Ovis aries: one gene and its partners. The protein of the gene in region 1 interacts with the protein of each later gene in a pairwise test. Links are inferred from orthologs where the notes say so. Each region holds a gene or a part of one and is shown on either strand. Other genes may lie near its edges.

The links.
Region 2: the proteins of NDN (region 1) and EEF1AKMT1 interact in a two-hybrid assay, tested with the Homo sapiens proteins (2 studies listed by BioGRID and IntAct). The link is inferred for Ovis aries from reciprocal best matches to the Homo sapiens genes NDN and EEF1AKMT1.
Region 3: the proteins of NDN (region 1) and MIER2 interact in a two-hybrid assay, tested with the Homo sapiens proteins (2 studies listed by BioGRID and IntAct). The link is inferred for Ovis aries from reciprocal best matches to the Homo sapiens genes NDN and MIER2.

The regions. Positions count from the first base shown.
Region 1 is NC_056071.1:620,219-623,639, reverse strand, and holds NDN (necdin), read left to right. Parts: upstream 1-1,280; 5' UTR 1,281-1,368; coding exon 1,369-2,346; 3' UTR 2,347-2,910; downstream 2,911-3,421. UniProt on the Homo sapiens protein: Growth suppressor that facilitates the entry of the cell into cell cycle arrest.
Region 2 is NC_056063.1:36,035,286-36,039,449, forward strand, and holds the start of EEF1AKMT1 (EEF1A lysine methyltransferase 1), read left to right. Parts: upstream 1-1,244; 5' UTR 1,245-1,387; intron 1,388-4,164. UniProt on the Homo sapiens protein: Protein N-lysine methyltransferase that selectively catalyzes the trimethylation of EEF1A at 'Lys-79'.
Region 3 is NC_056058.1:40,733,051-40,737,384, reverse strand, and holds the start of MIER2 (mesoderm induction early response protein 2), read left to right. Parts: upstream 1-1,414; 5' UTR 1,415-1,456; coding exon 1,457-1,465; intron 1,466-4,334. UniProt on the Homo sapiens protein: Transcriptional repressor.

The DNA of each region.
Region 1 (3,421 bases):
TTTTTTTTAAAGGATGCACCTCTGGGACTGTCAACTTTGTTTTTGTTGACAGTCTCAAACAAAACTGCAGATTTGGTTTCTAAATTTGAAAACTGATATACAACCACCAATTGTTACATCTCAAATCAATTGTTATCTGGGAAAATTTTGGGGATCTAGGTTAATTTAAAAAAGAAAAAAAAAGTATCTTGGGAGGGATTTGCATGTGATACTATTCAGTATCTGTGGAAGATGGGGATGTTGTGCTCTAAGAAGGTGAAGTTTCCACAGGAAGAAAAGCGGAGGTTGAAACAGTCATAAAGAAAAGGAAGGTCCTGGAAAAACAGGCGGAAAGACATCCTATGAGTCTATGCTAATATAATCTTTGTGTGAGGGGATTCTAATGAAACAAAATTTACATCAAAATTATCCAATGGAATAGAAAAACCAAAATCAATGACCATTAAAACACTAACAAAGTCATTATTATATTGCCTTCAAGAGAACTTCGATCACACTCGGATTGACAACATTCTGCATTTCTTGTTCAAAACTCTTCCATACGGTAGGAAATCAATGAATTTTTGTTGTTATTCTTCAGAATTCCAATTTGTCCAATTAGTTCTCCTGGTGGCTCAGAGGGTAAACTGTCTGTCTGCACCGCGGGAGACCTGGGTTCAATCCCCTGGAGAAGGAAATGTCAACTCACTCCAATATTTTTGCCTGGAAAAGCCCATGGACATAGGAGCCTGGTAGGCTACGCCCATGGGATCGCAAAGAGTCGGACATGACTAAGCGACTTCTCTTTTTCAGAGTTGACATATTTTCTTGGGCAATCCTGGCTGTTCTCTCAGTTTAAATTCTCACACTGATCTGAAACCTAGTTGACACACCAGCCTAGTTCTTACTCTTGGATTGATCTCTAACTTGATTTTGGATATACCTAATCAAATGCTTCCTAAGAAAGTTCAGTTTCAGCATTTCAGAAGCTTAAATTGCCATCTGTCCCTTAAACTGACTCCTTGTCCAGTGCTCACCCATCTCCCTCCCCTCCTCCTCAAGAACTCCTCCTTAGCCATAACAGGATACCTGGGGAGGGGGTGTGATCACTGAGGCCCATATTCTAGCGGACCCTCTATGCTTACTGGGGGCCTCCTAGCCCCCTCCTGCAGCCCACCAGGAGCCCCGCCCGCCAACTCGACTGCCGGGCCCCAGGCGCGCGGACGCGCAGGCGCATTGGCCCGGCCCGCCGCCGCCCCGCCCTGCCTGGCCTCTGCGGAAGGCGCCGCGCGCAGCAATGCGCACTTCCTCTCCAGGAGTCCGCGGAGGGAAAGCAGACTCGAAGAGCTCTCGGACTCGGCGGCCCTGCTCTTGCGAGACCGAACAGATATGTCCGAACAAAGTAAGGATGTGTGCGACCCCAACTTTGCGGCCGAGGCCTCCAACTCCGAGGTGCACGGCAGCCCCGGCATTACCGGGGGGCCCTCTCCTCCGGGGTCTCAGGCCGCGACACTCACTGAGCCAGAGCGCCCTCCCTTAAGCCCGCCTGATGCCCCTCTGGTCTCGCTGCCTTCCCAGGCTCCAGGCGAAGAGGGAGACCCGAAGGCCCTGCAGCAGGCCGCTGACGAAGGCCGTCCCCACCAGGCCCCGAGCACAAGTCAGCTCAGCCCGGCGCCCCCGGCCCCGGCCCAGCTGGTGCAGAAGGCACACGAGCTCATGTGGTACGTGCTGGTCAAGGACCAGAAGAGGATGATCATCTGGTTCCCAGACATGGTGAAGGATGTCATCGGCAGTTACAAGAAGTGGTGCAGAAGCATCCTTCGGCGCACCAGCCTCATCCTCGCACGCGTGTTCGGGCTGCACCTGAGGCTGACCAGCCTGCACACCATGGAGTTTTCGCTGGTCAAAGCTCTGGAGCCAGAGGAGTTGGACAGGGTCGCTCTGAGCAACCGCATGCCGATGACGGGCCTCCTGCTGATGATCCTGAGCCTCATTTACGTGAAGGGTCGCGGCGCTCGAGAGAGTGCAGTCTGGAACGTGCTGCGCATCTTGGGGCTGAGGCCTTGGAAGAAACACTCCACCTTCGGAGACGTGAGAAAGCTTATCACCGAGGAGTTCGTCCAGCAGAACTACCTGAAGTACCAGCGCGTCCCCCATGTCGAGCCCCCTGAGTACGAGTTCTTCTGGGGCTCCCGTGCCAGCCGCGAAATCACCAAGATGCAGATCATGGAGTTCCTGGCCAGGGTCTTTAAGAAAAACCCCCAGGCCTGGCCTTCCCGCTACAGGGAGGCTCTGGAAGAGGCTAGAGCCCTGCGGGAGGCCCACCCCACTGCCCACTGCCCCCGCAACAGTGTCTCCGAGGACTAGCAAGGTCTGGAGGCAGATGGAAGTTTTCTGCCCCTCACCAGGGTGGAGGAAGGGTGGGAGTGTGGGACGTTAGAGTATTCAGGATCTACAGTGCAGTATTTCACGTGTAACTTTTAAGTTTTCCATACAGTGCTTTTATACCTCTTAATGCAATGTTGTGTTCATTTCAGTAATATTAGTGTATAGGATTCATGCATGGTTGTTTGTAATTAAGCTCAGTTGGTGCTTTCGCTTTTGTGCTACCTTTCTTGAATTTTTTGTACCAGAGACATGCTAAACTTATGAAATACACTGAGGCATTTTCCATATTCTTTTACGTGTGACGGAGGCTGTGTATTGGGGTAAATTGGTCTTGCAGAGTTTGGAAAAACTCCCCAGAAAAGCTGGCCTAACCAAGAGAAAAGTTGACCCCTGTCTTTGTGCTCTGCCTGGGCACGGGAAACATCCCTGTGGAGTTTGGTGATGTGAACTGAAACAGACTCAATGTGGGCACACTTTACTAAACACAGATACAACCTCACCATGAGTAAACTTTAAACATTAAAGATTCTTGTGATACAGTCATTCATGGAAAAAGTGTACTTTATCTTCTTAACAGAATATTATGGGTTTGGAATGGGAATTACAAAGTATACAGATATAACTATTTCATCTAATAGGACGGGGATGTCAGTACTCATCATGACTCATAAATATGTAAAGGGCATAGTTTTATTTTCAGGAAGGAATTCACAAGTTCATATCAAAGCTTTGACAAGTAGAAGTGCAAAAACCAAAACAGGGGTCATAATCACATTATATAGAAATAACAAATGCTGATATTTAGAGTAATTGCCCCTCTTACATTTTCCATATTTTCTAAAAAATAATAGCTGTCTTTTGTGGGCACTAAGAGAGGCCTTGTACTAAACCCTTACATATATTTTCTCTCTTTAATCCTCACAATAGCCTTGTGAAGCAGGCACCGTGGAGGAAATACAGAAATAAAGCAGATAATTAGCTTTCCCTGGATCATAAAGGCTTCCTGGGAGGAGAGGCTTAGTTTTAGGGTTTGGACCCAGACTGAATGAGCCCA
Region 2 (4,164 bases), on another chromosome or scaffold:
TAAATAAGCCTTTCTGGTGAATAAAGGCTTCCTATCTCCAGTGTCCTGTGTATGGAACACTGCTACCTCTGTAAAAAAAAATATTGCCGTGAAAGTCGGTTATTGTCTCTCGATTCATATTTATTCTTTTAGCTTGATGTATATGTTTTCTTTCCTGCTGCTTTCCTAAACCTAAATTATAGCTGGTTTTGACGTATGCGGTTTAGTGGGCTTGTCATCCAAGCAATCAAAAAATGAAAGCATGGTTTGCCGTGAGCTTGGGGGCCGTATTTAAAGTGGAAATGACGGTATTCCCAGAATAGCAAGTGGCAACCCACTCCAATATTCTTGCCTGGAGAATCCCATGGACGGAGGAGCTTGGTGGGCTACAGTCCACGGGTCGCAAAGAGTCGGACACGACTGAGCGACTTCACTTTCACTTCAGAGTAAGCAAACCTGTTTTAAATTTATATCCTCACCTTATACCAAAAAGGATTAAAGGTATTCAATAGAAGGTAAAGTGGGAAGATGACGGAATTGCTAAGGAGGATGAGGGGAAGGCAGGCAGGGATGCTGCATGGATTGGTGGCCCTGCGGGAGGACAGTCAGGACAGTGCTTGGGGTCTGCAAGCGTCTCCCGCCCGCGCGCAGGCGTCGGCTCTGACCCGGCGCCACCGAGGGCGCGCTCCCACCCGTCAGTCGCACACAGCGCTGCTGCTTCATGAGGGGAGGGCTTGCCCAGCTCGTAGGCGGTCTAAGCACGAGGACCGCGTCTTCGGGTCTCGGGAACCCTCGGTGTCAGGCGGGGGTCTACCGTGGCTCCAGCAGACGCACCGCGGAGGGGCCCGTGTGCGGGGTTTTAAAGGCCTTCTCTAACGTAGCGGTAGCTATGTGTGTCTCTCTCCAGTAGACGGAGGAGGCGGAACAGACGGGGCATTGCTGCTTGTGAAACGTACAATGAAGTGCAAACGACAGGTCTCTTGGTGCGCGTTAAAACCTGCAGCGTCTCTGCTGCCCCCGTCCTCGCGGACACGTGCTCAGCCGCGCAGCTCCAGGGGCCAGGCGGCCCTGCAAGTGGCGCGGTGCCCAAGGGCCTCCCGGGAGCGCTCGTTTGCGCGTGCGCGGACCGGACCAGCCCGCAGCCCCGCCCACGACCCCGGCCCCCAACCCCGCCTGGCGGGACTGCTGTGCTTGCGCGGACGCGCCCCCGCGCACGCTTCCGGCCTGGCGGGCCGCAGTGCGCACGCGCAGGCGGCTGCCTAACCAGGCCCCGCGGGCTACGGAGCACGGGTGGACTCGAGCGGCGAGTGGAGTGAGGAGCCCGCGCCGACCCCGCGGGACTCTGCTTGTCTGCGTCTCCCGACACAGTCAGGATAGCGGCTCTGGTCCTCGGGGCCGGGCGGAAGAGGTTGGGAGGGGCTGCCGTCTCGGTTGTGCTCAGGGCGGCCGCGGGTGGGGCGCGTGGAGCCGCGCTTCAGCCGGTGTCTCAGCTTGTGGAGTAACGGCCGTCTCCAAGGCGTGGTGGGCGGGGGGGTGTCCGGGGGGGCCGCCTGGGCGTGTTCCGGGAGGCGGGGCGGTTGTGGGGGCAGCCCGTGGGGGTGGACGGTGTGCGTGTGGACACCGGGGGCGCGGGAGACCGGCCGCCGAGCCCGCGTCCCAGTACGGGCCCGGATGCTGGAAATACGGCCAATTTAGAGATCCACCCGCCACAATTTTTTTTTTTTCTTTTTCAGCTAAGAAAGTAATTTTCTTAAGCTGCGCTTCGGAATTGCTTTGAAGTTAAAGCCAACTTTTTTGTTTTCATGTTTTTATTTCTAAATAATTAGCTAACATTTCAGGCTGCAAATTGAAAGCCATTCTCAATCCACAAATGCAGCTGTGGAAACATCCGTATGCATTCATATGTGCACATAGGAAAGTGTGTGCACTCGCGCACTTTTCCTTGCCCTTCAGCTCTTCCAGGCAGTGTCGTGGTGCAGCTGGAATCAGGAACCCATTGTACCTGCAGTCTCGCAGGAGACGTTGGATTTTAATATTTGCTGAAGTGGTGTTGCTTCTTTTTTTTTTCTTACCACTTGCTGTTGGCATCTGCCAAGGCGTGTGTTGTGTCTTCCCCCACTCCCACGAGTAATCTGTGGCTCCTTCTCTGGCTAGTGAACGTGATGGCAGGCCTGGGAGATAATTTAGACTTTCTGCCTGGAGAATCCCAGGGACGGGGGAGCCTGGTGGGCTGCCATCTATGGGGTCGCACAGTCGGACACGACTGAAGCAACTTAGCCGCAGCAGCAGCAGCAGCAGCAGCAGCAGCCCTTGACAGAGCTTTCTAAAAGGGAAAGAGAAAGCCACCCGCCTTTGCTTTACCTTGAATGAACGCACACTAGGCCATGAGGTAGAGATGCTCCCAGGAAATTGTAAGCGTTGTGAAGGAAGACCATCCTGAGCAAATGCTAGTGGCCCCCCATCACCTCAGGTGAACTGGTGTGGTCTCTGGGAGACAGGTGGGCACCCTGGAAATACCTCACATCTTCCACTGAGGCTCTGAATATGCACAGGCAGCTACTCAACGTGGCCATTTCACGTTTATACCCATGCTGCCTTGGAATGTATGATCCAGTTTTCTGGTGGTGAAAGGTTTTATTATCTGGGGTCTTTGGTCAGAGTAGCTTGAGTGAGTTGAAGAAATTACATTATCTACAAACATTTCCAAACCTACAGAAAGGGATAAAGTTTTTTTAATCTTAAGTACAATTTTTAAGAATCATTTTGGCCTTGAGCGCAGTCTGTGTTTGTCTTTGTTCATGTTTGGCTGTGTCAGGGCTCAGTTCGGGATCCTGTGTCATATTTAGCTGCAGCATGGGATCTCTTAACTGCAACATGTGGGATCTAGTTCCCCAACCAAGGATCGGACCTGGGCCCCCTGCATTGGGAGCATGGAGTCTTAGCCACTGGACCACTGGGGAAGTCCCAAAAGGGGGTAGTTTTTTTGATAGGTATTTTTCTCACTGGAGCATATTAAGTTTACCGAGGATGTGTAAAGCTGTTCAAAAAAACCTGAACTGTCATCATACTAGACAAATTCAGCTTGACCCAAAGCTGGCACAGAGCTTTCTCCTGGACCTACTGTACTTTCTTCTCCATATTACTTACAGTCATAATTTATGGTAATTTTCATTTTCTAAGAAGAGGACAAAGAGAAAAGATAGTCAAGGCTTTCTGTCCAAGATTCCTGAGACCTCTAAGCTTTCTTTCACTCTGACAGTGAGAGGAGATAGGAGAATGGCAATATGTTTATTGGCAGAATAATCACCTTGCTCAGACATTTTTAGGATTCCCTGTCTAGACTGGTAACCTTTAGAGAGATCCTGAAGGAATAGAAAAGATGTGTCTTGTGGGTGTCACTGGAAGCTAGTAAGCATTTGGACGACCTCTCAAAAGGCACTTGGATACACATACTTTCATCACGTCCGCACCTCTCCCCACAGTAGAAGCTGGGCCTTCCACTTAGGAAGGATTAACATATATTTGACTAACTGAACAAGACAGAATCCTTTCAGTGATGGTGCATTTGATTCATTAGGGCTGATCTTGGCGAAAATGTGAAGTCAGAAGGACACCTTCTGGGGAGGAAACGAGCTTGTGACTGAGATGGAGGTGATCTCATCACCTCTTGATCCAGCTCTGCAGGGAGTTCTAGAAGTAGTCCTCATGGAATGGCAAGCCCGTGAGTCCTCAGAGACTTGACTTTGAAAGGCAGTGTTCATGGGATGTGTAAGCATCAGGTGCTCTGTCGTCGTTACGTGCATGTGATTCTGAACATAAACTTGCCCCGAGTATCATATTCCATTATGAGCGTGTCTGAACTCCATGGTTCAGCCCTGCAGCTTCGCTCTCCTGTTATAATGATTGTGAACAGTGCCCCTCATCGGAGCACCAAGTCCACCCCCTTAGCAGTTCTGCTCCATTTCTCAGCAGCTTCTGGCACAAATGTGGGACCTTTGGACAGCCCTTGCCAGGGTCTGGGCCCAGTCAGTGGGCATTCTCTTTGCCTCCCAGACTGCAGCAGCTTCTTGAAGAACTCCCGGTCCCATGTGTAGCCCTAAAGCAGGTGACTGCCTGGTGGGTAGCATCTAGAGCTGTTATTGTATGGGTGATGCTGGGAAGGCTTGCAGTCTTCTCTTTTATCAC
Region 3 (4,334 bases), on another chromosome or scaffold:
GGCTCTCTGTTCAGTTCCATTGATTCATGCCTGTTTTGTGCTGATACCATGCTGCTTTGATGACTGCTGCTTATACTACAGGGGAAGAAACTTTCAGACCTGGAACACATCGCTCTCTCCATTCCTTCGTCTGCTGCTGTTGTTGTTCGGTTGCCAAGTCATGTCAGACTCTTTATGACCCCAAGAACTGCAGCACACCAGGCTTTCCCTGTCCCTCATTTTTGATGATTCTTGTTAAAGCTCCCTCCAAGGAGTCTCCTCTGTTGCCCTAGGCTTACTCAAGCCCTTTCCCTCTGTTGCTGTCACGTGTGATTATACAGAGCCCCACTGTCACTGTGTCTTGTTGGTTTACCTTCCTACTTCATTGGACCTCTAGTTGCTCCGTACCCAGTTGAGGGCTGCAGGGGACACTGAGTGACTGATTGACCAAGCTTACCCCTTATCAGTGAGGACCCTCCCTCCAAGGGCCTGAACCCTCAATCTGGATGATGTACACCAATGTGAGTGGGGAGCTCATGACTCATGTAACTTGTGACTGATACAGAGAAGACAGCAGGGCAGGTCTTCTAAGACCTGTTCTCTTCTGGCTGGTAGGCTCCCCGGGCTGGGCTAGCGCTTTTACATCAAGCATCCAGCAGCAGTTGACACTGCTATCAAAGTCAGCTTGAAAAGGACCGGGGCTGAATCCTAGGTCTCCCCCACATCCATTCTTCCTGGTTTGTGTGAGCCTGAAACCTGTGTGCCTCCTCTCTGCTTTGCCCATATTCCCCAGCCGTCCACCTCTGCTCTAGTCACCATCCTAGTCTCTGCTTTGCCTTCTCTGTCTACACCATCCACCCTGATGCCCTCCCTCAGCACATCTCTGAGACACAAGGTATGGGGAATCCTTGTCTGGACCCTCTTGTTCACGCACTTCGCCGCCAGCTCGGGCCCATGTTTCCTCGATTAGATACAACTCATGACAACAACAGGTCCAGAGCCAGCGGAAGGGCTGGGCTCCACCTCCCCTGCTGACAGTGGGCACTCGGGTTCCAAGCCCCCAGTGAGATCCGTCGTCACTGGTACAAACGTGCGGAAAGTTCTAGAACCACGCTGCCCAGACTTAAGTCCTTTTAAGGAGGGGGGTCGTCTCTCCGGGGCTCGGGGTCCTCAGCTGTAACACTTGGGGGGGCACCATAGCTTGGAAGGAGGACTGGGGACCCGCGCTTAAGCTCTGGTTATCAGGAATCGGCACTTCCATCCAGGGTGCCACCACTTTCCAAGCCGAGGCCAAGGTCCGTGGAAACCCGCGCATCCCATATCGCGCACCTACTACGCGCCGGCTCGCGCCCCGCCCCGGCCCCGCCCCCGACCCCGCCCAGGCGCCCCCCGCCCGCCCCGGCTCTTCAGCCAATGAGCGCGTGGCCCCGCATCCGGGGATCCCGGCGCGGCCGCCGCCTCCCGCGCACACACGGCCATGGCGGAGGTGAGTGAGCGGGCCGGGGGAGCCGGCCCCCGCCCCGGCCCGCGCCCCCGCCTCCTGGCCGGGCCGCGTAGGGGCCCCGGGCGCCGAGGCCCCGGGCCCGGGCTCGGAGCCGAGCCGCAGTACGGCTCCCGTCGGAGCCCGAGGGGCGCGGGGCTCCACCGTCAGTCGCCCCCGGCCCCGGTCCCCCCCTCCCGGGTGCCACATCGCGGGCGGCAGTGCGCATGTGCGGCGCGGGGGTCGGGGGCGCGGGGTGGAGCGGGGGTGGCGGGGGCGGGGAGGGGGCGCGCGCCCGCAGTTTCCCGCCCCCCCCCCCCCCCCCCCGGCGCCCGCCCCGCGTCTGCCAACTTCGCGGACCGCGCTTTCCCACCGGACCCTGCCTCACCGGACCCCCGCCCGCTGACCCCACCAGCGGCGCTGAAGCCCCTCCCCGTGGCGCTCTCCCTGCAGAGTCGTGCCCCATCCGGCCCACAGCCCCCTGACCCTATCCACCCCCGATTCCGCGGCTCTCGCCGTGCAGAGTAGTGCCCGTTCCGGCCCCCTGACCCTACCCAGCCCCCACCCCCCGGCGCTGACCTCGCGGAATCTTGCTCCCTCTGACCCTACCCACTCCCCACCCCCCGGCGCTGGTCCCGCGGAGTCGCGCTCCTGCCGGATCCCGGGACCCCGGGCAGGACTCGAGCTCCCACCTGGGGTCAGCCCGGCCCGGAGGGCTGCTTTTTCCCGCGGCTTGAAGTTGCTTCGCGGAGCCTTCTCTCTCTGTCCGCAAAGCGGGCCCAAGACCCCGAATCCTTGGGGCCGGACCGATGTTGGAGTTGAGTGTTTTGGATTTGAAGATCTGTGGGGTTCCGGGCTGTGATGCTTGAGCAAACTCAGCTGGGATTGTCGAGATCCAGACACCCGGTAGCTTCGTGGCGGGTCGAACCAGAGATGAAAAACTTTCACTTTGAGGGTTTTTGGAATGTTGGATAAAGCAGTGCGAACCTGCTTTCACCTTTTAGGGCTCTAGGGAGAATGAAATGAATAACGCATCTGCTAGGGACTCAGCAGACGTGACTCTTAGCGCAGACGGTCAGTGTGGGGACTCTAGGCAGGTCCCTGGACTCAGCAAGTGATTTTCACGCAGTGGGTGAGGCTGCCCAGGCCCAGAGAGGAGCAGACACCCGCCCGGGTCCTGGGATGCTTGGCCTGATCGGGGAGCCACGTTGGGCTGTATGTCTTGGCGCTGAGTGGGTGGGTGTTGTGGAGGTGGAACTGGCCAATTCTCTCCCACTAGTGACTTTCGCAGGGGCAGCAGGAGGCCCTGCGTTTGTGCCAAAGAGGGTGTGGGCATACCAGTGCAAGGCCAGACCTCCCCAGCCCATTCCTGTCTTATATGCTGGTGGCTGGACCCAAAGGGCCCTTCCAGAGTAGTTCTCTTTCCTTAGAGGGCATTTGGGGAGACAAGCCTCCTGGGCAGTGGCTGTACTTGTGCGATGGAGGTAGAAGCCAGGTCTCCTGACAGCCCAGCAGGGGCGTGGCTGTCCATGTATGTGTCTGCCTCAGGGGCCAGCAGTCTTGGCCAGGCAGGTAGCCCTGTGTGACAGGTGGGTGGGACAAACTCCCCAACCAACCTGCCCTGAGTGGTGCCTGGTTTGGCTGTTGACTCTGCCCTGTCAGGGCTGCCAGGTGTCCAGTTTGGGGTGAATTGGAGCTGGTTTCTTAAAAAGAAAGCCAACTCAGTGGGAGGCCCTGAGGGCCTGGCAGTGAGGGACCGCAGGTATGCAAATGTCAGTGGTGGTGAGCACGGCTGGCCTTTGCCTGGGAGGCTGCCCCTGTCTCTGGAGCCTTTCACACTGGGCTGCCTTGGGCCAGTCTCTGAGCTGGGATCCCATAAGATCTTGGCTCCATGCTTGCACAGAGAGGCTGAGCCTTGTGCAGTTCTTGTCTTGAGCCAATACAAATAGTGATTCCTGACCAAGCAGTGAGTGCTGATTTTTCTCATCACCAAGATAGCCATCAGCACCCTGAGAAAAGGTGGGGTGCTTCTTACTGTTTTGCTTGTGGATCCCAACTTAATCTTTAAAAAGCTGAGTCCACTGTCCGTATCTTGTGCTTAAGAGACAGCTTTTTGTTGTCCTTAGGGTAAAGTGCGTCTTTTCCCTGTGATCTGCAGCCCAGTGGCCTTGTTCTCTGGACCCCCCGCCCCTTTTCCACCCTGGTTCCTATCTCCCTGTGGCATCTGCACCTGCAGGGGCCTCACTGTGCGGTGGAGTCTGCTGCCCTACTGGCTGCCGTGGAGACAGCCACGCAGCCTCCTTCACCCCTGGCGCGGGGCCTCCACCCTGTTTTCTCCCCTCAGTACCCTGCACATCTGCTGTTGGCCAGTGTCCCCAGCTGGGTGGGTGACTTGCCGAGACTGGCGGGCAGAACCTGTTTGCTGATTGCTGCGCCCCAGCCCAGAGCAGGTGCGGCATGGGCTGTCAGTCAGCAGAGAGGTGCTGGGCGGCCCAGTGGGACCACGTATCTGCCAGGGGCCAGGGGTTTTGGTTAACTGCTGCTGTGTGATGAGCCACCTCTGCAGTCAGCTTCTCAAAGCAGCCAGTGCTACTTAACCACCTGTCCCAGCCTGGAGGTCTGGCTGGTCCCGCCCGTGGTTGTGGCTGGTTGGTGGCTGGGCTGAGCCGCCCACATGTGGCTGCAACACTGGCGTGGCCTGGCCTCGTGGCTTGTGCTTCCTCGCAGCATGGCGGCTGGTGGAAGTCACACTGCCTTTCACAGCCTAGACTTGGGGGTCATGTGGATCCCTCCCACCAGAGTCCCAGGCCTGGCCATTGCACAGGGAGGGGGTGTAGGACCCCCCTCTGGAAGGAAGGCATGTGGGTGTCCCATG